Anolis sagrei: one gene and its partners. The protein of the gene in region 2 interacts with the protein of the main gene of each other region in a pairwise test. Links are inferred from orthologs where the notes say so. Each region holds a gene or a part of one and is shown on either strand. Other genes may lie near its edges. The genes, in order: BRMS1, CEP70, SYTL4 and METTL17.

Evidence for each region.
Region 1: the proteins of CEP70 (region 2) and BRMS1 interact in binary tests that used the Homo sapiens proteins (3 or more experiments, as listed by UniProt). The two-hybrid records come from large-scale screens. The link is inferred for Anolis sagrei from reciprocal best matches to the Homo sapiens genes CEP70 and BRMS1.
Region 3: the proteins of CEP70 (region 2) and SYTL4 interact in binary tests that used the Homo sapiens proteins (3 or more experiments, as listed by UniProt). The two-hybrid records come from large-scale screens. The link is inferred for Anolis sagrei from reciprocal best matches to the Homo sapiens genes CEP70 and SYTL4.
Region 4: the proteins of CEP70 (region 2) and METTL17 interact in binary tests that used the Homo sapiens proteins (3 or more experiments, as listed by UniProt). The link is inferred for Anolis sagrei from reciprocal best matches to the Homo sapiens genes CEP70 and METTL17.

What each region holds. Positions count from the first base shown.
Region 1 is NC_090032.1:9,016,096-9,022,994, reverse strand, and holds the start of BRMS1 (breast cancer metastasis-suppressor 1), read right to left. Parts: upstream 3,014-6,899; 5' UTR 2,857-3,013; intron 1-2,856. UniProt on the Homo sapiens protein: Transcriptional repressor. Down-regulates transcription activation by NF-kappa-B by promoting the deacetylation of RELA at 'Lys-310'. Promotes HDAC1 binding to promoter regions.
Region 2 is NC_090021.1:218,659,135-218,666,899, forward strand, and holds the start of CEP70 (centrosomal protein of 70 kDa), read right to left. Parts: upstream 3,024-7,765; 5' UTR 2,921-3,023; intron 1-2,920.
Region 3 is NC_090030.1:10,025,910-10,033,631, forward strand, and holds the start of SYTL4 (synaptotagmin-like protein 4), read right to left. Parts: upstream 3,008-7,722; 5' UTR 2,927-3,007; intron 1-2,926. UniProt on the Homo sapiens protein: Modulates exocytosis of dense-core granules and secretion of hormones in the pancreas and the pituitary. Interacts with vesicles containing negatively charged phospholipids in a Ca(2+)-independent manner.
Region 4 is NC_090026.1:14,066,754-14,073,678, forward strand, and holds the start of METTL17 (ribosome assembly protein METTL17, mitochondrial), read left to right. Parts: upstream 1-3,921; 5' UTR 3,922-3,969; coding exon 3,970-4,047; intron 4,048-6,925. Other genes in the region: angiogenin-like, read left to right, coding at 622-1,065. UniProt on the Homo sapiens protein: Mitochondrial ribosome (mitoribosome) assembly factor. Binds at the interface of the head and body domains of the mitochondrial small ribosomal subunit (mt-SSU), occluding the mRNA channel and preventing compaction of the head domain towards the body.

The DNA of each region.
Region 1 (6,899 bases), on a different chromosome or scaffold from region 2:
GTATGTCACAGCAAATGAGATCTCTATGCTGGATTTCGTATCACAAAATCACAAGTCGAACACTTCCCAAGCGTCTAGGACTGTATGATATATTTTCGAATGATGCGCACAGATCCAAGTAAGGTCGCCTTTTGCAGTTGACAGTGATTTTGTCAATATTATTATTATTATTATTATTTGATACACAACAAGATTAGTACACAGCAAACAAGACCACACTGCTGACTGTTGTATTGGATCACACGTCGGACATTTCCCAAGTGTCTAGGACTGTGTGATGTATCGGCAAATAATGCATGCAGATCCCAGTAGGGTGGCCTTTTGCAGCTGGCAGGTGGCAATTTTGTCAGCGCCAATTGTTTTTAAGTGCAGGCCAAGGTCTTTAGGCACTGCACCCAGTGTGCCGATCACCACTGGGACCACCTTGTCTGGCTTGTGCCAGAGTCTTTGCAGCTCGATCTTTAAATCCTTGTATCGTGTCAGCTTTTCCAGTTGCTTCTCATCAATCCTCTCTTAGTCATTATGTTTGGTTTCTATTTCTGTGTATACTATCTATATGCTTTGATGTTTTATATTTTATTGTTATGTTGTTTATTTTAATGCAATTTGTATTTTTGTATTGTAATTTGTTGTTCGGGCTTGGCCCCATGTAAGCCGCTCCGAGTCCCCGTTGGGGGAGATGGTGGCGGGGTATAAATAAAGCATTATTATTATTATTATTATTATTATTATTATTATTATTATTATTATTATCCTGCTGTCGCCTGGGATTGCAACATCGATCTATACTGTTTTTTCCCATAATCGTGAGGTCAGGAGTATTGTGCTCCAAAACTCTGTCTGTCTGAATCCAGAAGTCTTAGAGTAGCTTGATGTGTAACTTTTTCAGGCTAGTTATTATTATTATTATTATTATTATTATTGTTATTATGTTTTAAATATTTTAAAAACATAATACATTTTATTTGTAAATCATTATTATTCTTAAAAGTTATTAAAGAGTGGCATTGCATATTATTTTAATAATATAAATATAATATTAATATTGATTTGCTGTTGTTGTTGTTCATTCGTTCAGTCGTCTCCGACTCTTCATGACCTCATGGACCAGTCCACGCCAGAGCTCCCTGTCGGCCGTCACCACCCCCAGCTCCTTCAAGGTCAGTCCAGTCGCTTCAAGGATGCCATCCACCCATCTTGCCCTTGGTCGGCCCCTCTTCCTTTTGCCTTCCACTTTCCCCAGTATCATTGTCTTCTCTAGGCTTTGCTGTCTTCTCATGATGTGGCCAAAGGACTTCAACTTTGTCTCTAGTCTCCTTCCTTCCAATGAGCAGCCGGGCTTTATTTCCTGGAGGATGGACTGGTTGGATCTTCTCGCAGTCCAAGGCACTCTCAGCACTTTCCTCCAACACCACAGCTCAAAAGCATCGATCTTCCTTCGCTCAGCCTTCCCTAAGGTCCAGCTCTCACATCCGTAGGTGACTACAGGGAAGACCATGGCTTTGACTAGGCAATGGATCTTGGTTGCCAGTCTGATGTCTCTACTCTTGACTATTTTGTCGAGACTGGACATTGCTCTCCTCCCAAGAAGGAAGCGTCTCCTGATTTCCTGGCCACAGTCTGCATCTGCAGTCATCTTTGCGCCTAGAAATACAAAGTCTGTCATGGCCTCCACGATTTCTCCCTCTATTTCCCAGTTGTCAATCACTCTTGTTGCCATAATCTTGGTTTTTTTGATGTTTAGCTGCAACCCAGCTTTTGCGCTTTCTTCTTTCACCTTGATTAGAAGGCTCCTCAGCTCCTCCTCGCTTTCGGCCATCAGAGTGGTGTCATCTGCATATCTGAGGTTGTTAATGTTTCCTCCAGCAATTTTCACCCCAGCTTTGCATTCATCAAGCCCCGCACATCGCATGATTTGCTGTTATTATTAATAATAATAATACTCATTTCCAGCTTTTTTAATGACCTGCAGGATTTATTCTGCATACGTTGAAATAATATGAGAAGTCAAACTGATATAGATATTCTCTCTCTCTCTATATATATATATTTAAATTATTTTAAACATATTTAAAGATATTTAAATTATTCATCTCCAACTTTTAATGACTTGCAGGATTATTTTACATATTGTAAACCATTATCATCATTGTTTATTGGGTTAAACCCCTGTGCCGGCAGGATTGAAGACTGACAGGTCGCAGGATCGAATCCAGGGAGAGGCGGATGAGCTCCCTCTATCAGCTCCAGCTCCTCATGCGGGGACATGAGAGAAGCCTCCCACAAGGATGATCAAATCTTCTGGGTGTCCCCTGGGCAACGTCCTTGCAGATGGCCAATTCTCTCACACCAGAAGCGACTTGTAGTTTCTCAACTAGCCTATTTGAGCTCCCAAAGAAATACTGCATTTATATACCTGAATAGGAACTGAAATATGTATTCTCCCTTAACTTGGAGAGGTTTAAACTGGCCTCCCAGATGCCACTGAACTACATCTCCCATCAACCATAACAAAGAGTGAGCCTTAGCAAAAAGTGATAAGAACAGAAGTCCTGAAGATCTGGAAGGTCCTGCATTGCCCACCATTCAAAATAATCAGTATCCTCCCCCTGATTTCAATGGACTCGTCCAACTTCTCCTAGGATTGTCCTGGAGGAACAAACCATTAAACATTTCAAAGGGGGAAGAGTGTAGTAGTATTATAGCCATACACATATATAAACCCCCCTTTGTCCGAGTTGTAATGGACTGGCCCTTGGCTTTCTCATTGGGAAATGGATAAGGCTGGAATGGACGATACCAACTTCACCGATAAAAAGGGGGGTGATGGGGAAAATAGCCGGGACCCCTTATTACCTGGGGGAGGAGCCGAGGAGGACGCAAACGCCGCTCAGGGCTCCCGCAGCAATCGGAAGTCGGCTCCGCTTGGCTCCGCCCACCGGCGCTAGCCAATCACAGCGGACTTTGCCTTGCGAAACGATAACGCCATCCACTGCACTTCGCTCACAACTCTGGGGTCCTTCGCGTAGAATTGTGGGCAGGCGGAAGCGGAAGGCGGACAGTTTCCATAGCAACGAAGCAGAAAGGAAACAAAACAGGCCCAGCCAGTTTTTTTCTGGGACAAAAAATAAAATAAAATAAAATAAAATAAAATAAAATAAAATAAAATATAAAATATAATACAAAAATATAAAATATAAAATAAAATACAAAAAATATAAAATATAAAATATAAAATAAAATAATATATTTATTATATTATTATTAGAATAATATATTTATTATATTATTATTAGAATAATACAATATAACAATATATCCAACTCTTTGATCTATGATTCTATGAATAATAATATAGTATAATAATACAATTATTATATTTTTATTTATTATAAATATAAATATAAATAAATATTTGTTTTAATAATAATAATTTAATAATATATTATTAATAATGACTTATTAATAATATAATGCACATACGAAAGTTATGTGTGTTAATATCTCAGTGCATTATTTCGGATTATGTTATTATTTGAAATAACATAATATAATGTAGTATAATAAATAATAATATAATAAATATAATATATGATTCTATGATAATATATTTTTGTATTGTTATTTATTATAATAATATATTATATTATGTTATTATAGTATTATGATATAATATTATAATATCAGATTATTTTATTATTATTTGAAGTAATTTTAATATAGTATAATGTAGCATAATATATAATATATTATAGTGTAGTATAATAAATAATAATATAATAAATATATGATTCTATGATAATATATTTTATATTATTTATTATAATAATATAATATTATATTATTATAATATTTTGATATAATATTATAATATCAGATTATGTTATTATTATTTGAAATAATGTAATATAATGTAGTATAATAAATAATAATATAATAAATATAATATATGATTCTATGATAATATATTTTTGTATTGTTATTTATTATAATAATATATTATATTATGTTATTTCAAATAATAATAACATAATATGAAATAATGCCCTGAGATAATATTAACATACATAAGTATCGTATGCGCATTATATTATTCTTATTAAAACAAATATTATATTTATTATATTATATTTATTTATATCTTGCTTTTTCTCTCTGAAAAGAGAGAAAGCAATATTGTAATATTATTATTATTATTATTATTATTATTATTATTATTGAAGATAGGAAATGTCCAAGCAGCCAGCGAGTCCTGGGGGCCTGCGAGCCAGCCTTTCCTATTGTCTTTGATTGGCTGTAATAAATGTCAATGTCTGGCAAGCCTGCCAGATTTGGATTTTCTGGGTGCTGAGATATAGAAACAATGAGGGAATTTTGGCTGAAATTTCAATGGAAGGAGATTTAAATGAGTAACAGATCAGGACAAAGGGTGGCTTTCCAAAGGCTTCCTTTGTCCTATTGAGATAGGATCATTAATGTCAAGCGACCGCCTCCCTTGGGGGGGGGGGGGGCAACTACGTGGCCCAGGGGTCACGATTCATTGTTATTTTCCATGTAAGAAATGTCTTTTGATAAGGTTCTTTTTCAACTGAGGATTTCCTCCTTTCCAGGGTCACAGGGTTGCTTCTTATATTTTTATACATTTTTTCGATAAAGGGGAATTGGGCAAAAGGGTCAGGAAAAGGTAAGGTACACAGGGAGAAATATAGAAATATAGAAATCATCATACAGAAAACATACCCACTTATCCCTCCCACCAGAATCATAGAATCATAGAATCAAAGAGTTGGAAGAGACCTCCTGGGCCATCCAGTCCAACCCCATTCTGCCAAGATGCAGGAATATTGCATTCAAATCACCCCTGACAGATGGCCATCCAGCCTCTGTTTAAAAGCTTCCAAAGAAGGAGCCTCCACCACACTCCGGGGCAGAGAGTTCCACTGCTGAACGGCTCTTACAGTCAGGAAATTCTTCCTCATGTTCAGATGTAGTTTGAAGCCATTGTTCCGTGTCCTAGTCTCCAAGGAAGCAGAAAACAAGCTTGCTCCCTCCTCCCTGTGACTTCCTCTCACATATTTATACATGGCTATCATATCCCCTCTCAGCCTTCTCTTCTTCAGGCTAAACATGCCCAGCTCCTTAAGCTGCTCCTCATAGGGCTTGTTCTCCAGAGCCTTGATCATTTTAGTCGCCCTCCTCTGGACACATTCCAGCTTGTCAATATAGAGTCCCATAGAAGTTCAAGAGAGTACATAAGTGTAACGGGAGGTGGTTTCTCAGTAATAAACCTGTTACCTTCTGCTATATATGAAACATAGGGCATAAAAGCTTCATTAAATGTACATGTGAAGGACATACATTGGGTTGTTAGGTGTCTTGTGTCCAAATTTGGTGTCAATTCGTCCAGTGGTTTTGGAGTTATGTTAATCTCACAAACGTACATTACATTTTTATTTATATAGATCGGATCACCTGAAGGTGCCCGCCTCAGATGTAGGCGAAACACCAGGAGAAAATGCTGCTAGAACATGACCATACAGCCCGAAAACCACACAACACCCCAGAAAATGGGAGATTTACGCTGCAATGTTCAGATGCAGCCACTCGAGGGAGCCTATAGGCTAGAACGGTGCCAGGTATGCTCTAGGAATATTTTTTTTGGAGGCTTTGCCCATAAGATGTTAAAATAAATAATCACCCCCTTCTGTCTCAGTCTTAAAAATTTTCTTTTTAAAAAGTCTTCCAGAAAAAAAAGAAAGTGTTGTAGTCATACCCTTCTGCTTTCCTGAAGAATAATTTTGTACTGTTTCCCTGCATGATCTCTCTCTATAAAAGTCTGTATATATGTTGGTTGGTTGGTTTGTATCTATAGGGCTTGGTGTCTCTGGACCAAACTTGGTAACTTATTGTTATTATCAGTTGTTATTATCATCAAGGCAGGGAGTTTCAGAAAAACATCTACTTCTGCTTCATTGACTATTCTAAAGCCTTTGACTGTGTGGATCATAATAAATTGTGGCAAGTTCTTGGTGGGATGGGCATCCCAAGCCCCCTTCCCTCTCTCCTGAGGAATCTGTACAAGGACCAAGTAGCAACAGTCAGAACTGACCACGGAACAACAGACTGGTTCAAGATTGGGAAAGGCGTCCGGCAAGGCTGCATCCTCTCACCCAACCTTTTTAACTTGTATGCAGAACACATCATGCGAGGATGTGCGGGGCTGGATGAATGCAAAGCTGGGGTGAAAATTGCTGGAAGAAACATTAACAACCTCAGATATGCAGATGACACCACTCTGATGGCCGAAAGCGAGGAGGAGCTGAGGAGCCTTCTAATCAAGGTGAAAGAAGAAAGCGCAAAAGCCGGGTTGCAGCTAAACGTCAAAAAAACCAAGATTATGGCAACAAGAATTATTGACAACTGGAAAATAGAGGGAGAAACCGTGGAGGCCGTGACAGACTTTGTATTTCTAGGTGCAAAGATTACTGCAGATGCAGACTGTGGCCAGGAAATCAGAAGACGCTTACTTCTTGGGAGGAGAGCAATGTCCAGTCTCGATAAAATAGTGAAGAGTAGAGACATCAGACTGGCAACCAAGATCCATTGCCTAGTCAAAGCCATGGTCTTCCCTGTCGTCACCTACGGATGTGAGAGCTGGACCTTAGGGAAGGCTGAGCGAAGGAAGATCGATGCTTTTGAGCTGTGGTGTTGGAGGAAAGTGCTGAGAGTGCCTTGGACTGCGAGAAGATCCAACCAGTCCATCCTCCAGGAAATAAAGCCCAACTGCTCACTGGAGGGAAAGATACTAGAGACAAAGTTGAAGTACTTTGGCCACATCATGAGGAGACAGGAAAGCCTAGAGAAGACAATTATGCTGGGGAAAGTGGAAGGCAAAAGGA
Region 2 (7,765 bases):
ACGAATGACATCAACAATGATTCTTGACTATAAAATGAGTGCCACTAATGAAATCCTACCCTTCTCAATAGAAACAAAGGTGAAATAACGAGCAATCTGTGTGAGACAATGCAGTTTTTCCAAGTAGGATTGCCGGAGTGGAAACTGGAGATGGCTCTTCTACCTTTCGTGACTGTGTTTGTTGTTATTGAATATCTTCAAAACTTTTTTTGGACCTATGGGGATCCTAAAATGAACCGATTACAGTGTTCTTTTGGTAAGATTTGTTCAGAGGGTATTTGCCATTGCATTCCTGTGAGAGTGAGAGAGTGTGACTTGCCCAAAATCACCCACTGGGTTTCACAGTTGAGGATACAGACCCTGGTCTCTAGAGCTTTAGTGCAATGCTCTCACCAGTATCCCACATTGGCTCTCTCATGGCTGTTTCAAGGAGATTTCTGAAGTGGTGGTGACTTGGTTGTGTGAAAAGTTACGCCTTCAACACAACCACAAAACACCTCACAACCTCTGAGGATGCCTGCCATAGATGTGGGTGAAACGTCAGGAGAGAATGCTTCTGGAACATGGCCATACAGGAGTCAAAGCCTTGTGCCGATAGGATTGCTGACCCACAAGGATGGTAGAACATCAAACATCTGGGCGTCCCCTTGCTGATGGCCAATTCTCTCACACCAGAAACAACTTGTAGTTTCTCAAGTCACTCCTGACATGAAAAAAAATGGCCATACAGCCCAGAAAAATCACAGCAACCTAGAGATTCTGGCCATGAAAGCCTTCAACAATACACAAAACGTTTGTTTAATCTAGCTGTCATATTATTTCCAGGTGCATGTTAAAATATTCTCATTTTCATACTCTTCTCAAGTGAATACAGTCATATTCTGTACTTACAAGACCCGTGGGAAATCAAAATGTTCACCAAATGCAACAAAATGACATCAACTATTATTTGTTTGCAAAACAATTCAAACAATGTGCTTTTTGTAAACATTCCCAGTAGAAATAAGGCCGAAATAATCCACGTAAAAACAACAAATCCTCCCAAGTTAAGTCGTGTACATGGTAGAAGAGGGAATTTCAGAAGCTTTGCTAGCTGGTTGTGTTAAAAGCAAATCCTTGTGGCAACTCCTTCTACACAACTACCAAAAAAAGGTTTGTTTATGTTTTTAGGTGTATACTATAATGTTCTGTACTTGAAAGGCCCATGGTGTAGCAAAGTATTCACCAAGTGCTTTGCAAACACCATGCAATAAAGCCTCCCATGGTGTGCTGCCAGAGTGAAGTCTCCACAGCAGGCATGGGCCAACTTGGGCCTGCCCTCTAGGTGTTTTGGACTTCAACTCACACAATTCCTAACAGCCTACCGGCTGTTAGGAATTGTGTGAGTTGAAGTCCAAAACACCTGGAGGGCAGGCCCAAGTTGGCCCATGCCTGCCATAGAGGATCCTGTGGCTTTCATGGCTCTATGAAAGCAGTGACATCTCCGGCCCATCCCATTCAGTTATCAGCCAGCACGCCAATGCCTTAAATCAAGAAATAGTTTTCTAAGATCTACAGAAATACTCGCAGGAACACCTCAGCAAGCAAGAGTCCAAAAGTGGCAGGCAAAAACCTGGAACCTCAATCCTTGGCTGATACCAAATGAGAGACTCCCACCTTGGGCACACAGAAGACTAGGTGACTTAGAAGGCGCTGAACAGACTTTGTTTTGGTACCACGAGATGCAGAGCCAATCTTAAGAAATGGGGCTACAAAGTGGAGTCCATGACATGCGAGTGTAGAGAAGAGCAAACCACAGATAATGCAGTCTGAGCCCTGCCACATGCACAATGGAGGACCTTCTTATAGCAACACCAGAGGCATTCCAAGTGGCCAGCTACTAGTCAAAGGACATTTAATACAACGCAAAGTTTTTAAACTTCGTGTTGTTTTAAAATACAAGTTCTGGCCCAACTTATCTGTCCGAACGCATCTCCCCTTATGAATCCTCTAGGACTCTAAGATCATCTGGGGAGGCCCTGCCTTCGTCACAAGTACGTTTGGCAGGGACAAGAGACAGGGCCTTCTCAGTGGTGGCCCCTTGGCTATGGAATGCCCTCTGTAGGGATATCAGATCGGCCCCTTCCCTTTTAACATTAAAAAAAAAACCGGGAGACTTCGCTTTTTGAGCAAGCGTTTGCAGATGCAATATAACAAACATAGGAAAAATGGAATGATGCTATTAACAATGCTTTTAACAAGGAGACTCTAATTGATATATTTTTTTTATTGATATTGACTATTTTAATTGGTTTTATATTTAAGCTAATTGATTTAATCATGTTTTATGTTTTTGATGCTGACTGTAAACTGCTCCGAGTCACCTGCAGGCTGAGAGGGGCAATATAATAATAGTAATATAGTAAATAATAAATAAATATAGTAAAATATATTTATTTATTAGATATATATATATATATATATATATATATAAAAATAATAAATATAGTAAATTATTATTTACTATAATAATATAGTAAATAATAAATAACCAAACTGTACCCTTGGTTCGCTCCTGATATAATAAAATAGATGGCTGTGTAGAAGACTGAATCCCCTGGCTGTGTGACAACCATTCAACCAACCAAGTCTGCATCTCTACAAGCGACACTACTTTACTTGCCATGGCTCACAGCTATGAGGTCCTGGGAGCTGTAGTTTGGTGGTTCCCCAGGAGAGAGGGCTGGAGCCTTTGCAGAACTACATCTCCCAGCATGGAGCCATGACAGTTAAAGGGGACTCAGATGCATTCATTCTGCAGTGTATGCAGCCAAGGAGAGGGCGTTTAACACAGTTAAAGGGGTATCAGATGCATTCCTTCCCTTTCAGTGCCTTCCTCCCTGCTTAATTCGCATCATTCTCCTCTTCTTGCGGTACATACCGGGGCCTGGGCTCCTTGCCTCGGTCTCAGAAGCCGTTATAGGCGGGTCTCCAAGGAAAGAAGGAGGGGTGAAGGGAAGGAAGGAAGGGAAGAAAGAAGGAAGGGGAAAGCAAGAAGGAGAGAAAAGCCCGCCCCAGTTTCCGCCCCAAGGAGGGGCTTGAAGGCATCTTTGTATTTCAGAGCCGACTTGGGCAAAGAAAGGAAAGCCCAATGCCTTCCTCTGAAATAGCTGCCTGAGGCCTCCCCTCCAGTACTAACCAGGGCTGCCCCTGCTTAGCTTCCAAGATCAGCCAGGATCTACTGCCTTGAGGATGTTTCAAGTGACCCAAGAAGTTATGGTGACCTCATGAGTCTCATAGGCATCTTCAGAGGTTGCAAGGTCTGTTGGAAACTAGGCAAGTGGGGTTTGTTTACTCTCAAATGTAAATGTTGCAATTGGCCACCCTGATTAGCATTTAATAGCCTTGCAGCTTCAAAGCCTGGCTGGTTGCTGCCTGGGGGAATCCTTTATTGGGAGGTGTTAGTTGGTCCTGATTGTTTCATGTCTGGAATTCCCCTGTTTTCATTGTTCTTTATTTACTACCCCCTGATTTTAGAGTTTTTAAACTTTCTCTGGAAAGTTAAAATGCTGCCAAATTGCAGTTTAGATGCATGCTTAAGGCGCATTAGTGTATAGAGTTGTGCTGAAGACAAGCGGACAAATGTCAGCATGCTGGAAGAAGCAAGAACCACCAGCACTGAAGCGATGGTCCTCCACCATCAACTCTGATGGACCGGCCATGTTGTCCGGATGCCTGACCACCGTCTCCCAAAGCAGTTGCTCTATTCCGAACTCAAGAATGGAAAACACAATGTTGGTGGACAGGGAAAGAGATTTAAAGACGGGCTCAAAGCCAACCTTAAAAACTCTGGCATAGACACTGGGAACTGGGAAGCCCTGGCCCTTGAGTGCTCCAGGTCAGCTGTGACCAGCAGTGCTTTAGGATTTGAAGAGGCATGAATAGAGGGCGAAAGAGAGAAACGTGCTGTAGTAGGATGAATGCGGTTCGACACCACATCAACTGCTACGGCTGAATGCTGTGGAATCGTGGGAGTTGTGATTTGGTGAGACCCCAGCCCTCTTTGGCAGGGAAGGCTCAAGGCCTTGTCTAATAACCTTTAGAAAGGAACTGAAAACATGGATGGGGAAGCAGTCATGGGCAAACTTGGGCCCTCCGGGTATTTTGGACTTCAACTCCCACAATTCCTAACAGCAGGGAGGTTTTGAGGTCTGTTGGAAACTTGGCAAGTGAGATTTATATATCTGGGGAATGCCCAGACACGAATCAATAATCATGCTAGGCACTGCAGACTAATTCAACCTGAGAAGTCAGCCATAGCAGAACACCTGATGAACCAACCTGGACACAGCATATTATTCAACAGAAAGGAGGAAACCATGAAAATGAATAAAATCTGGCCACCGGTATTTTAAAAACTCTAAAATTAGGACAGTAAATAAAGAACAGCACTCAAACTACAAGAAAGGAGATTCCATCTGAACATGAGGAAGAACTTCCTGACTGTGAGAGCCGTTCAGCAGTGGAACTCTGCCCCGGAGTGTGGTGGAGGCTCCTTCTTTGGAAGCTTTTAAACAGAGGCTGGATGGCCATCTGTCGGGGGTGATTTGAATGCAATATTCCTGCTTCTTGGCAAAGGGTTAGACTGGATGGCCCATGAGGTCTCTTCCAACTCTTTGATTCTTTGATTCTATGAAAAGCAGGGGGATTCCAGGCATGAATCAATCAGGGCCAGCTAATCACCTCCCAACAAAAGATTGCCCCAGGCAGGAAGCAGCCAGGCTTTGAAGCTGAAAGGCTAATCAAGGTGGCCAATTGCAACACTCACACTAGCCTCCAACAGACAAGAGTTCTTTCTCCCACCCTGGACATTATTCCACAAATGTATAAACCCCACTTGCCTAGTTTCCAACAAACCTCTCAACCTCTGAGGATGCCTGCCATAGATGTGGACCAAACGTCAGGTGAGAATGCTTCTGGAACATGGCCATACAGCTCGGACAACTCACAGCAACCCTCTTCCCAGTCTGGTTTTGGACTTCATCTCCCAGAATGCCCGGCCATTGGCGGTGGCAGCGGAGGCTTCTGGGAGTTGAAGTCCAAATTCCTGAAAGCCTCGAGCCCCTGCTTAATGGGCGTTTCCAGAGGGGGCGGGGCGAGAGAAGGGGCGGGGCCTGCTGGGGAAAACTTCCGGGGATGAGGACTTCCATCCGTCCGCCTCGGCGGGTGCGTTGCTGGGCAGAGGGGCCACTCGAGGTAGGCCCCGCCGCCATTTTGGGAGGAAAGGCGAGGAGGGTGACCCCAGGGAGAGGAAAGGGAAGGAGGAGGCGGCCTCCTTGCTCTGGCTCTGGGCAGAAGAGACTGGGAAGCACTGCAGGCTCCGTCCCGAGGAAAGGCCTCGTTTCCGGGAGACTACGAGATTTAGAGGGCCAGGTAGACCCGACCCTCCCTCCCCCCCCCTTCCTCCTCCTCCTAGAGAAAACTTCCCCCTCGTCCAGTTTGACACCGCTTTAACTGCCATGGCTCAATGCTGTGGCACAGTGAGATACTCTGTAGTTCCTTTCCCTGCCAAGAGTGCTGGTGCTTCACCAAACTACACATCCCAGAATTCAGTAGCATCAAGCCCTGGCAGAGGAAGTGGAGTCAAACCGCATCAGTGTGATTTGCACCCGTTGAGTATCCCTTCTTCGAAGTGTTTGTGGGGACCAGAAGAAGTGTTTGGGATTATTATTATTATTATTACTCTTTTTCTTCTTTCTTCCTTCCTCCTCCTCCTCCTCCTCCTCCTCCTCCTCCTCCTCCTCCTCCTCCTCCTCCTCCTCTTCTTCTTCTTCTTCTTCTTCTTCTTCTTCTTCTTCTTCAATATTTTGGGAGATGGGACCCAAGGCAATAAACACGGAATTCATTTATGTGCCAGTAAACAGCTTCTGAAATGCTGTTATGCACCATATTTTATATCATGGAACTCAGTTAATAATAATAAGTGCCTAAAGACCTTGGCCTGCACTTAAACACAATCGGCGCTGACAAAATTACCATCTGCCAACTGCAGAAGGCCACCTTACTGGGATCTGCACACATTATTCACTGATACGATATGAGGATTTAAAGATCGAACTGCAAAGACTCTGGCACAAGCCAGTAAAGGTGGTCCCTGTGGTGATCTGCATACTGGGTGCAGTGCCTAAAGACCTTGGCCTCCACTTAAACACAATCGGCACTGACAAGATTACCATCTGCCAGGTGCAGAAGGCCACCTTACTGGGATCTGCACGCATTATTTGCTGATACATCACACAGTCCTAGACACTTGGGAAGTGTCTGACGTGTGATCCAATACAACAGCCAGCAGAGTGATCTTGTCTGCTGTGGACTCAGCTTGTTGTGTTTCTAATTAATAATAATAACAACAATAACAAATTTTAATTTATATCCTGCTTTTCTCCCACAAAGGGCCCCAGAGTGGCTTCCAACATATTAAATACAGTACAAAATAACAGTTTCATTAGAAAACAAAGGTGTCCCTGGCTCAGCCACCCAGGTGGATAATTTTGGAGCGTTTTGTATTTTTGGATAAAGGGATACTCAACTTGTGTCAACTGTCAAATGCTCATATTCCTACTTCATCCAAAAATATGTAGGAAGTGTCTTTTAGGTAGCTAAAAAGACCGTAGGAAGCTCGCCCAGTTTATGTGATCCTATGTGTTTGTGTTCATGTTTCGGTATCCTAGAAACAAAATCCTACTTTTGTGTCCTCAAATCATACCGTTCTTTTGAAAGTGAGGAATCTACCACCGTAATCTCCTTTCTGTAGATGTAAAACTTTTTTTTATTTCAGCATGAAAGAATGTGACAAAAACAAACGCAGTGATAAGTGTTTGGTATTTCATATTAATCAAGAATATAACAAATACAGAAACATTACTTTAAAAAGCACCACTTGCCGAATTTGAATCTATGTAGATTCACTTTCATTCAGTTTATTTCAAAATGCTGGTGAGCTCTATGCAGAAATATCTAGAATACCTTGAATAAAAATTGAACTAAATACATATGAAATATTTTCCTACATGCTTTTGGCATTTAAAGTTGTGGCATGACTAAGGTGCTCACTTTTAAGGTAGCTCTTGTTTAATTGGGAAGTGGCATATTTTCTATTCCAGCAGACTTCAAGGAAGTGGCTATAAGTGTTTTTATGTTGTGCTATTCTATTGATTTTTATCAAATGTGTTTTTAATCCATTTGTTTCAAACAGTGACACTTTATTCACATTTAACAGTATCCTTTTTCTGTTTGTGCTTATGGTATGAACATGCATTTTTATTTTGCTTTAAATTAGTGGACTAAGGTGAGACACAAATTGAATAAAATGGAATTATTGACAAACATATTGCTGTCATTTCCCTCTTCATCAGCTTCCACCATCTCAGCCCCTTTCGTAAATGTAACATCAGCACACATCTTTCTAATGGTTAGGGCAAGCACCAGCCTTGTTCCTGGTCTATGTAGCACCTCTATTAAACCCGCAATTTGTAACAACTGACAACATTTCCATTCATTTTAAGTGTTGGTGAAAAAAGTTGTCACAGTTAGACTAGACAACACCAGTCAGCAGACAGATTATTATTATTATTATTATTACTATTCAATATTTATACCCCACCCTTCTCACCCCTAGGGGACGCAGGGCTGCTTAGATCAGGGCCCTGACATTGTTAAAGTATATAGACTATCCAGTTGCATCTTTTCATAAAGCTGACTGAATATGGGCATAGCAGTCTCGGGA
Region 3 (7,722 bases), on a different chromosome or scaffold from region 2:
CAGGCGAAACATCAGGAGAAATGCCTCTAGAACATGGCTATATAGCCCGGAAAAACCTACAACAACCTAATCATACTGTTCGACCTTTTTCGGCTCCTCTCAAATACACATTTTCTACTCCTATCTCATCCAGGGTTTTATCATTTTATCTTCTCCATTTGGCCTGCCATTTGTATTCAATTTTCTACTATACTATTTTGCTTTGTTCACTTTATTTTGCCACTCTATATACTTTATTGTGATGTGACTTTTGTTATGCTTTGCACTTTATTTTGCTGTATTGTATCTTTGGGCTTGGCCTGGTGTTAGCCATCCCGAGTCCCCTTTGGGGAGATGGTGGCAGGATATAAAGAAAGATTATTATTATTATTATTATTATTATTATTATTATTATTATTTTACTGGTACAAAAGTTCAGTATGTCACTTATTATTATTATTATTATTATTATTATTATTATTTCAGGACAGGGAAATAAAGCAGCAATAGGAAAGATTACCAGGCCAATTAGATTTAACGTGGATGACTAGGACAGTTTTAAACTGTGTATTTTAATATTTTGATAAATGTTTTTAATGTTTATGTATGTATATAAGAATGTGTTCCGGCATTGAATGTTTGCCGTATATATGCTGTGCTCCGCCCTGAGTCCCCTTTGGGGTGAGAAGGGTGGAATAAAAATATTTTAAATAAATAAATGAATAAATAAAATTATTATTATTATTTATTTATTTGAAGCCATTGTTCCATGTCCTAGTCTCCAGGACAGCAGAAAACAAGCTTGCTCCCTCCTCCCTATGATTTCCTCTCACATATTTATACATGGTCCTCATCGTGTCTCCTCTCAGCCTTCTCTTCTTCAGGCTAAACAGGCCATGCTCTTTAAGCCGCTCCTCATAGGACTTGTTCTCCAGACCCTGGATCATTTTAGCCACCCTCCTCTGGACACATTCCAGCTTGTCAACATCTCTTTTCAATAGATAGGCAGGAGCCTTTGGTGGTCCAGCGGGTTAAACCGCTGAGCTGCTGAACTTGTTGACCGAAAGATCGCCTAGTTTCCAACAGACCTCACAACCTCTGAGGATGCCTGCCATAGATGTGGGTGAAACGTCAGGAGAGAATGCTTCTGGAACATGCCAAACTCACAGCAACCCAATAATAATTTTGTTTGTTACCTGCCTCTCTCTGTGGAATAATTAAAACATGTAAACATTGCAAAACTTCTATAAATAATGGGCATGTTTCTGGAAAAGATACATATTAAAATGTATCCTATTAAAAGACAAGGGATACAACTTGGTTTACACATTCCAAAGTAATTTAGAAACAAATCCTGGTGAAATGAAAGAGTCTGAAATATAATACAATATAACATAATACAAGGCAGTTTCAGAAATAGCCGCTTTGAGTCCCCTTTGGGGAGATAAAGCGGATTATAAATAATAATAATAATAATAATAATAATAATAATAATAATAATAATACATTAGTTGTTGAAGGCTTCCATGTCTGGAATCACGGGGCTGCTGTGAGTTTTCCGAGCTGTATGGCCATGTTCCAGAAGCATTCTCTCCTGATGTTTCACCCACATCTATGGCAGGCATCCTCAGAGGTTGTGAGGTGTGTTCGAAACTAAGCAAATGAGGTTTATATACCTGTGAAATAATATCCAGGATAAGAGAAAGAACACTTGTCTGTTTGAGGCAAAGGTGAATGTTGCAATTGGCCACCTTGGTTAGCATTGAATGGCTTTGCAGCTTCAAAGACTGGGTGCTTCCTGCCTGGGGGAATCCTTTGTTGGCAGATGATTAGCTGGCCCTAATTGTTTCTTGTCTGGAATTCCCCCGTTTTTGAGTGTTGTTCTTTATTTACTGATATGATTTTAGAGTTTTAGGTATTAATGTTACAATTGGCCACCTTGATTAGCATTGAATGGCCTTGCAGCTTCAAAACCTGTCTGCTTCCTGCCTGGGGGAATCCTTCGTTGGGAGGCGTGAGCTGGCCCTAATTGTTTCTTGTCTGGAATTCCCCCGTTTTTGAGTGTTGTTATTTATTTACTGTTATGATTTTAGAGTTTTAGGTATTAATGTTACAATTGGCCACCTTGGTTAGCATTGAATGGCCTTGCAGCTTCAAAACCTGGCTGCTTCCTGCCTGGGGGAATCCTTTGTTGGGAGGTGTTAGCTGGCCTGAATTGTTTCTTGTCTGGAATTCTCCTGTTTTTGAGTGTCGTTCTTTATTTACTGTTATGATTTTAGAGTTTTAGGTATGAATGTTGCAATTGGCCACCTTGATTAGCATTGAATGGCCTTGCAGCTTCAAAACCTGTCTGCTTCCTGCCTGGGGGAATCCTTTGTTGGGAGGTGTTAGCTGGCCTTAAATGTTTCTTGTCTGGAATTCCCCCTTTTTAGTGTTATTCTTTATTTTCTGTTATGATTTTAGAGTTTTAGGTATGAATGCTGCAATTGGCCGCCTTGGTTAGCATTGAACGGCCTTGCAGCTTCCAAACCTGGCTGCTTCCTGCCTGGGGGAATCCTTCGTTGGGAGGTGTTAGCTGGCCCTGATTGTCTCATGCCTGGAATTCCCCATACAGCTTGGAAAACTCACAGCAACCCAATAATCAATTAGTTTGCAACCCTTTGATACAAGAGCCAACTGACCCAAAGCCGGGAGGATACTGGGATGAAAAGTGAAAGAAACTGGGAGATACTGGGATGGAAAACGAATCCAAAGACAGGCAGTTAAAAGCAGTATCACCCTGGATCAATTCTGCTGTGTAGATGCACCCTGGGTGAGCTTGGTGGCTTCAGAGGGACATAAAGTGAGGAAAGCACTCTGTGTATGCTCAGAGGCTGCGGGGAAGAGGCTTGGAAGAGGAAGAGGAGGCAAGAGCTTGCAGATGCAAAGGAAGGGAAAGAAAAAGTACCTGTCTCTCTGCTCCAGGCTGAGGGAGAAAGAGCCTCGTTGGCCCGGGAGGAGCCGCTCCCTTAAAGGGGCCGCACCCCTTTTCATGCCAGGCTCTTAAAGGGACAGCGCCCCGGCTGGGATGGCAGGGGGCGTGGCCTCACCTGGGAGGGGGCGTGGCCAGGGCGGCAGCAGGACCTCCCATCCTTACTAACAGCTTTGAAGTGCAGCTTCGTGAGGCCCAATACCTTGTGAAACTAAAAATCCCATGACCTAGGCAAGTAGTGGCAAAATGCATCAATTCTACAATGTGGATGCTATATTGGAAAGCATTGCAGCACCTACCTGTGCTGGCCAGGTAAGAGACTGCAGCCTCATCAAAGGGGAGGTCCTCACACATCCCTTGCCATACAGGCACAATAAATAAGAAGTTTTGCAGTACTTCCTTGCACTTCCAGCAAATTGGAGTATGCCTTACTCATACTAGCACAATAAAGGAGTTGTGCAGCACTTCTTTGCACTTCCAACATATTGGAGTATGTCTTACTCATACAGACATAATAAATTAGAAGTTTTGCAGCACTTTGCATTTCTAACACATTGGAGTATGTCTTACTCATACAGACACAATAAGAAGTTTTGCAGCACTTCTTTGCATTTCTAACACATTGGAGTATGTCTTACTCATACAGACATAATAAATTAGAAGTTTTGCAGCACTTTGCATTTCTAACACATTGGAGTATGTCTTACTCATACAGACACAATAAGAAGTTTTGCAGCACTTCTTTGCATTTCTAACACATTGGAGTATGTCTTACTCATACAGACATAATAAATTAGAAGTTTTGCAGCACTTTGCATTTCTAACACATTGGAGTATGTCTTACTCATACAGACACAATAAGAAGTTTTGCAGCACTTCTTTGCATTTCTAACACATTGGAGTATGTCTTACTCATACAGACACAATAAGAAGTTTTGCAGCACTTCTTTGCATTTCTAACACATTGGAGTATGTCTTACTCATACAGACATAATAAATTAGAAGTTTTGCAGCACTTCTTTGCATTTCTAACACATTGGAGTATGTCTTACTCATACAGACACAATAAATTAGAAGTTTTGCAGTACTTCTTTGCATTTCTAACACATTGGAGTATGTCTTACGCATTCAGACACAATACATTAGAAGTTTTGCAGTACTTCTTTGCATTTCTGGCTGCCGATTTGCTACCGGACCCAATTCAAGGTGCTGGTCTTGGCCTACAAAGCCCTAAACGGTTCCGGCCCAAAATACCTTTCGGACCGCATCTTGGCCTACGAGCCCACGAGGACCTTGAGATCGTCTGGGGAGGCCCTTCTCTCGATCCCGCCTGCGTCACAGGCACGGCTGGCGGGGACGAGGGAGAGGGCCTTCTCGGTGGTGGCCCCCCGGCTGTGGAACACTCTCCCGGCACACATCAGACAGGCGCCCTCCCTCATGTCCTTTCGAAAAAGCCTTAAGACCTGGCTGTTCGAGAGGGCATTTAATTAAGTGCTAAGCAACAACATTACGGTAATGAGAACTGGAATGGTATAAGGAAGATGAGACTGGCTATGATTCTACTAAGAGACGAAGCGGATTTTTATGTAGTTTGTATTTGTCGTATAGTTATATGTTGTTGATACTGGCCTTTGTAACTGTCTTTTTATGTGTACTGTACACCGCCATGAGTCGCCCGTAAGGGCTGAGAATGGCGGTTAATAAGTGCATCAAATAAATAAATAAATAAATAAATTTCTAACACATTGGAGTATGTCTTACTCATACAGACATAATAAATTAGAAGTTTTGCAGTACTTCTTTGCATTTCTAACACATTGGAGTATGTCTTACTCATACAGACACAATAAATTAGAAGTTTTGCAGTACTTCTTTGCACTTCCAACACATTGGAGTATGTCTTACTCATACAAACACAATAAATTAGAAGTTTTGCAGAACTTCTTTGCATTTCTAACACATTGGAGTATGTCTTACTCATACAGACATAATAAATTAGAAGTTTTGCGTACTTCTTTGCATTTCTAACACATTGGAGTATGTCTTACTCATACAGACATAATAAATTAGAAGTTTTGCGTACTTCTTTGCATTTCTAACACATTGGAGTATGTCTTACTCATACAGACACAATAAATTAGAAGTTTTGCAGCACTTCTTTGCATTTCTAACACATTGGAGTATGTCTTACTCATACAGACATAATAAATTAGAAGTTTTGCAGCACTTCTTTGCATTTCTAACACATTGGAGTATGTCTTACTCATACAGACACAATAAATTAGAAGTTTTGCAGCACTTCTTTGCATTTCTAACACATTGGAGTATGTCTTACTCATACAGACACAATAAATTAGAAGTTTTGCGTACTTCTTTGCATTTCTAACACATTGGAGTATGTCTTACTCATACAGACACAATAAATTAGAAGTTTTGCAGTACTTCTTTGCATTTCTAACACATTGGAGTATGTCTTACTCATACAGACACAATAAATTAGAAGTTTTGCGTACTTCTTTGCATTTCTAACACATTGGAGTATGTCTTACTCATACAGACACAATAAATTAGAAGTTTTGCAGTACTTCTTTGCACTTCCAACACATTGGAGTATGTCTTACTCATACAAACACAATAAATTAGAAGTTTTGCAGCACTTCTTTGCATTTCTAACACATTGGAGTATGTCTTACTCATACAGACACAATAAATTAGAAGTTTTGCAGCACTTCTTTGCATTTCTAACACATTGGAGTATGTCTTACTCATACAGACACAATAAATTAGAAGTTTTGCGTACTTCTTTGCATTTCTAACACATTGGAGTATGTCTTACTCATACAGACACAATAAATTAGAAGTTTTGCAGTACTTCTTTGCATTTCTAACACATTGGAGTATGTCTTACTCATACAGACACAATAAATTAGAAGTTTTGCGTACTTCTTTGCATTTCTAACACATTGGAGTATGTCTTACTCATACAGACACAATAAATTAGAAGTTTTGCAGTACTTCTTTGCACTTCCAACACATTGGAGTATGTCTTACTCATACAAACACAATAAATTAGAAGTTTTGCAGCACTTCTTTGCATTTCTAACACATTGGAGTATGTCTTCCTCATACAGACATAATAAATTAGAAGTTTTGCAGTACTTCTTTGCATTTCTAACACATTGGAGTATGTCTTACTCATACAGACACAATAAATTAGAAGTTTTGCAGCACTTCTTTGCATTTCTAACACATTGGAGTATGTCTTACTCATACAGACATAATAAATTAGAAGTTTTGCAGTACTTCTTTGCATTTCTAACACATTGGAGTATGCCTTACTCATACAGACACAATAAATTAGAAGTTTTGCAGCACTTCTTTGCATTTCTAACACATTGGAGTATGTCTTACTCATACAGACATAATAAATTAGAAGTTTTGCAGTACTTCTTTGCACTTCCAACACATTGGAGTATGCCTTACTCATACAGACACAATAAATTAGAAGTTTTGCAGCACGTCTTTGCATTTCTAACACATTGGAGTATGTCTTACTCATACAGACACAATAAATTAGAAGTTTTGCAGCACGTCTTTGCATTTCTAACACATTGGAGTATGCCTTACTCATACAGACACAATAAATTAGAAGTTTTGCAGTACTTTTTGCACTTCCAACACATTGGAGTATGTCTTACGCATTCAGACACAATAAATTAGAAGTTTTGCAGTACTTCTTTGCACTTCCAACACATTGGAGTATGTCTTACTCATACAGACACAATAAATTAGAGGTTTTGCAGTACTTCTTTGCACTTCCACCACATTGGAATATGTCTTACTCATACACAGGCACAATAAATTAGAGGTTTTGCAGTACTTCTTTGCACTTCCAACACATTGGAGTATGCCTTACTCATACAAACACAATAAATTAGAAGTTTTGCAGTACTTATTTGCACTTCCAACACATTGGAGTATGCCTTACTCATACAAACACAATAAATTAGAAGTTTTGCAGTACTTATTTGCACTTCCAACACATTGGAGTATGTCTTACGCATTCAGACACAATAAATTAGAAGTTTTGCCCCACTTCTTTGCAGTTCCAGCAAACTGAAGTATGAAGTTTGGTATTACTTTGTATTTCTGGCAAATTGGAGTATGTCTTACCCCTACGGGCACAATAAATGTTTTGCAATACTTCTTTGCAATTCTGGCAAACTGGAGTTATGTCTTACGCATACAGGCACAATAAAGAAGGTTTGCACTACTTATTTGCAGTTCTAGCAAAGTAGAGTATGTCTTACTCGTACACAATAAATAAGTTTTGCAGTAATTCTTTGCAGTTCTGGGAATTTGGTGTATGTTTCCGGCTGAGGTTTTAGGGCAGGAGATGCTAAGAAGGTTGAATGAAAAGTAATGCCTCCACCTTTGTAACTCCTATACAGATGGCAGTACTGGTATGCAGCAGGTACTGGCTTGTTCAGCAGACTCTCCTCTACAGTTCCATCGTGGTGGGAAGTTTGCTCTCCTTTAGGCTAATGGGGAGGAACAACAGGTGATCATATGAGGGTTGAATGAAAAGTAATGCCTCCACCTTCGTAACTCAACAGATGGCAGTACTGGTATGCGGCAGGTACTGGCTTGTTCAGTAGACTCTCCTCTACAATTCCATTTTGGCGGGAAGCCTTAGCATTGAATGGCTGTGTTGTTAAAGTGCAAAGTATGGAACCCTGCACAGACAGTCGGTTAATGCGACTTAATCAACG
Region 4 (6,925 bases), on a different chromosome or scaffold from region 2:
TTGTGAAAGCTGAAGTCCAAAACACCTGGAGGACCAAAGTTTGCCCATGCCTGGTCTACTGTATAAAAAGTATTTTGGGTTAGGGCTGCTGGTAAATCGTCAGCAATTATAAGATCTATCAACCAAAAAGTTGCAAGTTTGAAGCCCCGGGTTGGCATGAGCTGCCAACTGTCATCCTAGCTCATTGTTTACCTAAGCAATTCAAAAACAGCTTTAGCTGTGATTAGTGAAATTAGGTACTGCTAAATGCAGGGAAGGTGTTTTACAACGTGATAAAGAAAGATCAGAAAATGCTGGGTGACCAAAAGGAAGGAGGAAGTCCTGACAGCTCTTCATCATAGAGGATGGAGCAACAGTTCCCCCTGGACTCAAGCCCAACCTTCCATGGCACCAAAAACAGCTGAAACAAACCACCTCCTTTTGTTCTGTCTGTCTGTGTATTGTCTATACAAAGCAGCATTTAATGTGATCCACCCTGAGTCCCCTTTGGGGTGAGAAGGGCGGAATATAAATAAAGTGTTGTTGTTGTTGTTGTTGTTGTTGTTGTTGTTGTTGGGAAGTTTGCCCATGCCTACCTATACCGATCTGCTGTAACCCACTTTCCCTTTTCTGAATCCAGCCATGATGCTCCCTCTGAAAAGAGCTGAGACGCTGATGCTCATCCTGGTTCTCGCCTGCGTGATCGCCAGTGGGGGCTCCTCCCAAAACCCTCGGCACGAGAAATTCTGGAGGCAGCACCACGACTTCCCTCGCACAAACATGGCCGGGCAGGACTACTGTGGGACCATGATGCTCCGCCGCGGGATGGCGAGGCCTTGCAAAGACACCAACAGTTTTGTTCATGTGCCAAAGAACCAGCTAAAGGATATCTGTGGCTGGGCTGGAACCCACTACCGCCGGGCATTGAGGATTAGCAGGGAGCCTCTCCATGTCACCACCTGCAAGCTTCAGGGGACGTTGCGGGGCCAATGCCGCTACTGGTCCCACACAGGCCAAAGACACATTCACATTGGCTGCGATGCATCAGGATGGCCGATCCGGTTTGAAGAGACCAATTTTATGTAGCTTCTTGTATGTCTCCTGTTTCCAAAAACAGCATAAAATAATGGGCAAACTCCTTGCAAACAGATATTTCTGTGTTGTTGTAAGTTTTTCAGGCTGTATGGCCATGTTCCAGAAGCATTCTCTCCTGACGTTTCACCTGCATCTATGGCCGACATCCTCAGAGGTTGTGAGGTCTGTTGGAAACTAGGAAAATGGGGTTTATATATCTCTGGAATGTCCATGATTAGGGTTAGAGTTAGGGCAACAGAACCCCACTGACTTTGAATCTTCCTAACCCAAAATGCTTTTTATACAGCAGACCAGGCATGGGCAAACTTGGGCCCTCCAGGTGTTTTGGACTTCAACTTCCACAATTCCTAACAATTCCTCCCATAATCCCTAGGAATTGTGGAAGTTAGAGTTCAAAACACCTGGAGGACCCAAGGTGTTTACAGTGGACTAAATTCATTGAACTCTCAAGCAACCAACCAGAACTTTCAAGCAACTGGCAAAAAATTGAATAAATAATATTTTAGATTTTTTTAAAAAAAAATGTTTCTATAATACAGTAAAATAGTGTCACATTAAGTTTGTCTTTATTTACTTTTAATTACTGTGTTTCAATATTAATATCAAGTCAATAGAGTTTATGGTATAGTGTGTAGCATAGTATTAGTTAGGCCAGTAACTTACAACCAAACAGAAACTGTTCATCCAGCATCTACCAATCCCCACGGGTGACGGTTAACTTAGTGTATATTGCACATAGTTGTAGAGTATCACTGTATGCAAATGTCATGGCTGTTTTGTACCATTTAGGATTTTTATAAAGTTTCAATACGCAGTAGCATAGTATTAGTTAGGCCTACTTTTAACAGTAACTCTCAAGCAACCAGAAATGATGTTTATCCGGCATTTATCAATCCCCATGGGTGATGGTTAACTTAGTGTATATTGCACATAGTTGTAGAGTATCACTGTATGCAAATGTCATGGCTGTTTTGTACAATTTAGGATTTTTATAAAGTTTCAATACGCAGTAGCATAGTATTAGTTAGGCCTATTTTTAACAGTAACTCTCAAGCAACCAGAAATGATGTTTATCCGGTGTTTATCAATCCCAATGGGTGATGGTTAACTGAGAGTCTATTTCACATAGTTGTAGAGTATCATTGTATGCAAACGTCATGGCTGTTTTATACCATTTAGGATACTTATAAAGTTTTCAACTCGTAGTAGCATAGTATTAGTTAGGCCTATTTTAACAGTAACTCTCAAGCAACCAAGAACTATGTTTATCCAGCGTCTACCAATCCCAGTTGGTGACGGTAGCCCGAAAAACATAGCCCAAAAAAACCTACAACAACTCAATGTCATGGTTGTTTTGTACAATTTAGGATGTTTATAAAGTTTCAATACGCAGTAGCATAGTATTAGTTAGGCCTATTTTTAACAGTAACTCTCAAGCAACCAGAAATGATGTTTATCAATCCCAATGGGTGATGGTTAACTGAGAGTTTATTGCACATAGTTGTAGCAGAGTATCACTTTATGAAAATTTAATGGCTGTTTTGTATAATTTAGGATACTTATAAGGTCTTCAACACAAATAAATATAATTGATCCCAGTGTCGTTTGGCTGTGTTACTAATGTAGTCTGCAGTGTAAATTATTAGGGGGTGCATCTACACTGTAGAATGAATGCAGTATTTATTTTATTGATTTATCGTGTCATGAGCAACCATTGTATTACAATTCTAACAGAGCAAAACAAACACAGAGATTAAAAAGAAAAGAAAAAAAAGGGGGGGGGGAAACCCCACACAGATTTTGCAAATTTGGTATTTGGTTAAATGTCCTTTGACCAGTATCTGGCCACTTGGAGTGCCTCTGGGGTTGCCGCAAGAAGGTCCTCCCTTGTGCATGTGGCAGGGCTCAGGGTGCATAGCAGCAGGTGGTCAGTGGTTTGTTCTTCTCCACACTCGCATGCCGAGGATTCCACCCTGTAGCCCCATTTCTTAAGATTGGCTCTGCATCTCGTGGTGCCCGAGCGCAGCCTGTTCAGCGCCTTCCAAGTCGCCCAGTCTTCTGTGTGCCCAGGGGGGAGTCTCTCATCTGGTATCACCCACGGATTGAGGTGCTGGGTTTGGGCCTGCCACTTTTGGACTCTCGCTTGCTGGGGTGTTCCAGCGAGTGTCTCTGTAGATCTAAGAAAACTATTTCTTGATTTAAGTCGTTGACGTGCTGGCTGATACCCAAACAGGGGATGAGCTGGAGATGTCTCTGCCTTGGTCCTTTCACTATTGGCTGCCACTTCCCGGCGGATGTCAGGTGGTGCAATACCGGCTAAGCAGTGTAATTTCTCCAGTGGTGTGGGGCGCAGACACCCTGCAGTTCAACACCACTTTGACTGCTATGTAATTCTGGGAGTTATAGTTTTGCATGGTCTTTAGTCTTCTGTGCCAAAGGAGGCTAACCATTTGACACCTTACAGGATTAAGAAAAAAACCTGTCACTTGGCTTTCTTTCCTACGTTTGCTTAAGTTCTCATTTGCCTTACTTCTGAGATTGAAAAAAATTGATTTGCCAAAGTAACCTATTGGGAATCGAACTCACTTCTCCACCATCACAGTCAAACGTACTAACCACTACACCACGCCCACTCTCCTCCTAAAGTTGTCCTTTCCAGCAAGTGAGATCCGATGACGTCAGAGGGGTTACGAAAACCAATCAGCGGTTCTCTCTCCCTCCCCGCTCTTGCTCGCCGACTAGAAAGAAGCTGAACAGGAACGATGAAAGGGACATATGCGCATGCGTATTATTCCCCTGTCGCTTGCTTCCTTCCTTCCTTCCCAAGATGGTGGCTAGAGAGGGCTCGAGAGCGCTTTTGCGCCTGCGCAAGGGGGAAAACGAGACCTTCCCAACATGGCGGCGCCCAGGCGTTTGTGGCAGGCATGGGGTTCCTTCAACAGCAGCGTTCCTGGCACTGCTTTGGCTTTCAGGGTGAATATTTTATTTTCTCAATTTTGTTTTCTTATTCTCCACCCTGTGATGTGTGTCCGTTATGAAAGTTGTATGTAGAAGCTTATTTATTTGTTTATCGTGTCATCCGCAACCAGAACATTGTATTACATTTATTTACTTATTTACTTATTTACTTTGCTTATATACCGCTGTATCTCAAGCCCGAAGGCGACTCACAGCGGTTCACAAACAGTAGAAACAGCAGTGGTTCCATACAACATATAACAATTGACTTAACACATTATCCATAAATTACCAATAAGCAATTACAATGCACAATTATTACAAAAAACAACCGTACCCAATCTTCTCATCATCCAAGCGTAGTCCAGGTTCCTCGTCCATTGTTCCATTCCTATGTTCCATTACCAGATTGCACTAAATTACTCAAACGCCTGCACAAACATCCAGGTCTTCACCTTTTTGTGGAATACCATTAGAGATGGTGCAAGTCTAATGTCTGTAGGAAGGGCGTTCCACAGCCAAGGAGCCACCACTGAGAAGGCTCTATCTCTCGTCCCCGCCAACCGTGCTTGAGAAGCCGGCGGGATCGAGAGCAGGGCCTCCCTGGAAGATCTCAAAGTCCTGGTGGGTTCATAGGCCGAGATGCAGTCAGAAAGGTATCTTGGGCCGGAAACGTTTAGGGCAGGGACCCTCAAACTTTTTAAACAGAGGGCCAGGTCACAGTCCCTCAAACTGTTGGAGGGCTGGATTATAATTTGAAAAAAAAAACATGAATATATTCCTATGCACACTGCACGTATCTAATCTGTAGTGCAAAAAAAAAAACACCTAAAACAATACAATAATTAAAATGAAGAACAATTTTAACACATATAAAGTTATTAGTGTTCCAATAGGAAGTGTGGGCCTGCTTTTGGCAGATTAGATAGGATTGTTGTTGTTGTTGTGCGTTTTCACGTCATTTCAGACTTGGATTGACCCTGAGCAAGGGTCGGGTAAATGACCTTGGAGGGCCGCATCCGGCCCTCGGGCCTTAGTTTGAAGACCCCTGGTTTAGGGCATTTCTAAAAGAACAGAACAAACAAACAGATTAAAAAAAAACACAGATTTTGCAAACTTGGTACTTGATTAAATGTCCTTTGACCAGTATCTTGCCACTTGGAGTGCCTCTGGTGTTGCCGCAAGAAGGTCCTCCATTGTGCATGTGGCAAGACTCAGGTTGCATCGCAGCAGGTGGTCAGTGGTTTGCTCTTCTCCACACTCGTATGTCGAGGATTCCACCCTGTAGCCCCATTTCTTACGATTGGCTCTGCATCTCGTGGTGCCAGAGCGCAGTCTGTTCAGCGCCTTCCAAGTTGCCCAGTCCTCTGTGTGCCCAGGGGGGAGTCTCTCATTTGGTATCAGCCATTGGTTGGGGTTCTGGGTTTGAGCCTGCCACTTTTGGACTCTCGCTTGCTGAGGTGTTCCAGCGAGTGTCTGTAGATCTAAGAAAACTATGTCTTGATTTAAGTCGTTGACGTGCTGGCTGATACCCAAACAAGGGGTGAGCTGGAGATGTCTCTGCCTTGGTCCTTTCACTGCAACTTCCCGGCGGATGTCAGGTGGTGCAATACCGGCTAAGCAGTGTAATTTCCCCAGTGGTGTAGGGCGCAGACACCCTGTGATAATGCGGCATGTCTCATTAAGAGCCACATCCACTGTTTTAGTGTGGTGAGATGTTTTCCACACTGGGCATGCATACTCAGCAGCAGAGTAGCATAGCGCAAGGGCAGATGTCTTCACTGTGTCTGGTTGTGATCCCCAGGTTGTGCCAGTCAGCTTTCGTATGATATTGTTTCTAGCACCCACTTTTTGTTAGATGTTCAGGCAGTGCTTCTTGTAGGTCAGAAAACGGTCCAGAGTGACTCCCAGGTATTTGGGTGCGCTGCAATGCTCCAGTGGGATTCCTTCCCAGGTAATCCTCAGAGCTCGGGATGCTTGTCTGTTCTTAAGGTGAAAGGCGCATGTCTGTGTTTTAGATGGATTAGGGTTCAGTTGGTTTTCCCTGTAATAGGCAGTTAGAGCACCTAGAGCTTCGGAGAGTTTCTGTTCAACCATCTCAAAGCTCCCTGCTTGAGCAGTAATGGCACGATCTTCAGCATAGATGAAACTCTCTGTCCCTTCTGGCAGAAGCTGCTTTGATTCGGATTAACTGAATCCGAAGTAATTGAAACAGCATAACTGGCCCTCGTTGTAAGTCGTCAAGGAGATTTTGGGCAGCAACTCCTGTCAGCAAATTCTGGACTCAAGGATAATACTTTCACGGCCAAGGAAGTCTTGGGATTTGTAGTTTGGTGAGGAGATAAAGTTCTCTGGGTGATGATTCTGAATACAACCCTTTAAGGTGTCACCATGGCAACTAAAGTGGGATCATAGAGTGATAACTGTACAGCAGGCATGGGCAAACATGGGCCCTCCAGGTGTTTTGGACTTCAACTCCCACAATTCCTAACAGCCGGAAGGGCCCTCCAGGTGTTTTGGACTTCAACTCTCACAATTCCTAACAGCCGGTAGGCTGTTAGGAATTGTGGGAGTTGAAGTCCAAAACACCTGGAGGGCCCAAGTTGGCCTAAGCCTGCTGTAAAGTGTGAACATGACCTACATGTTGTCACTTTGCCATTTGGTCCTTTCATAATCGCTCTCAGGCTGGATTGGATTGACACTGCCATGAGTCGCCCAAGGGCTGAGAAAAGCGGTATATAAATGAAGTTAATAATAATAATAATGTGCTCCAATTGCCTAAACTTGTGCGCCACCTTAAGAAGCCAGACTTGGCCACGGTTGTCCATTCTCTTGTTACATCTCGATTAGATTACTGCAATGTTCTCTATGTGGGGTTGCCTTTGAAGACTGT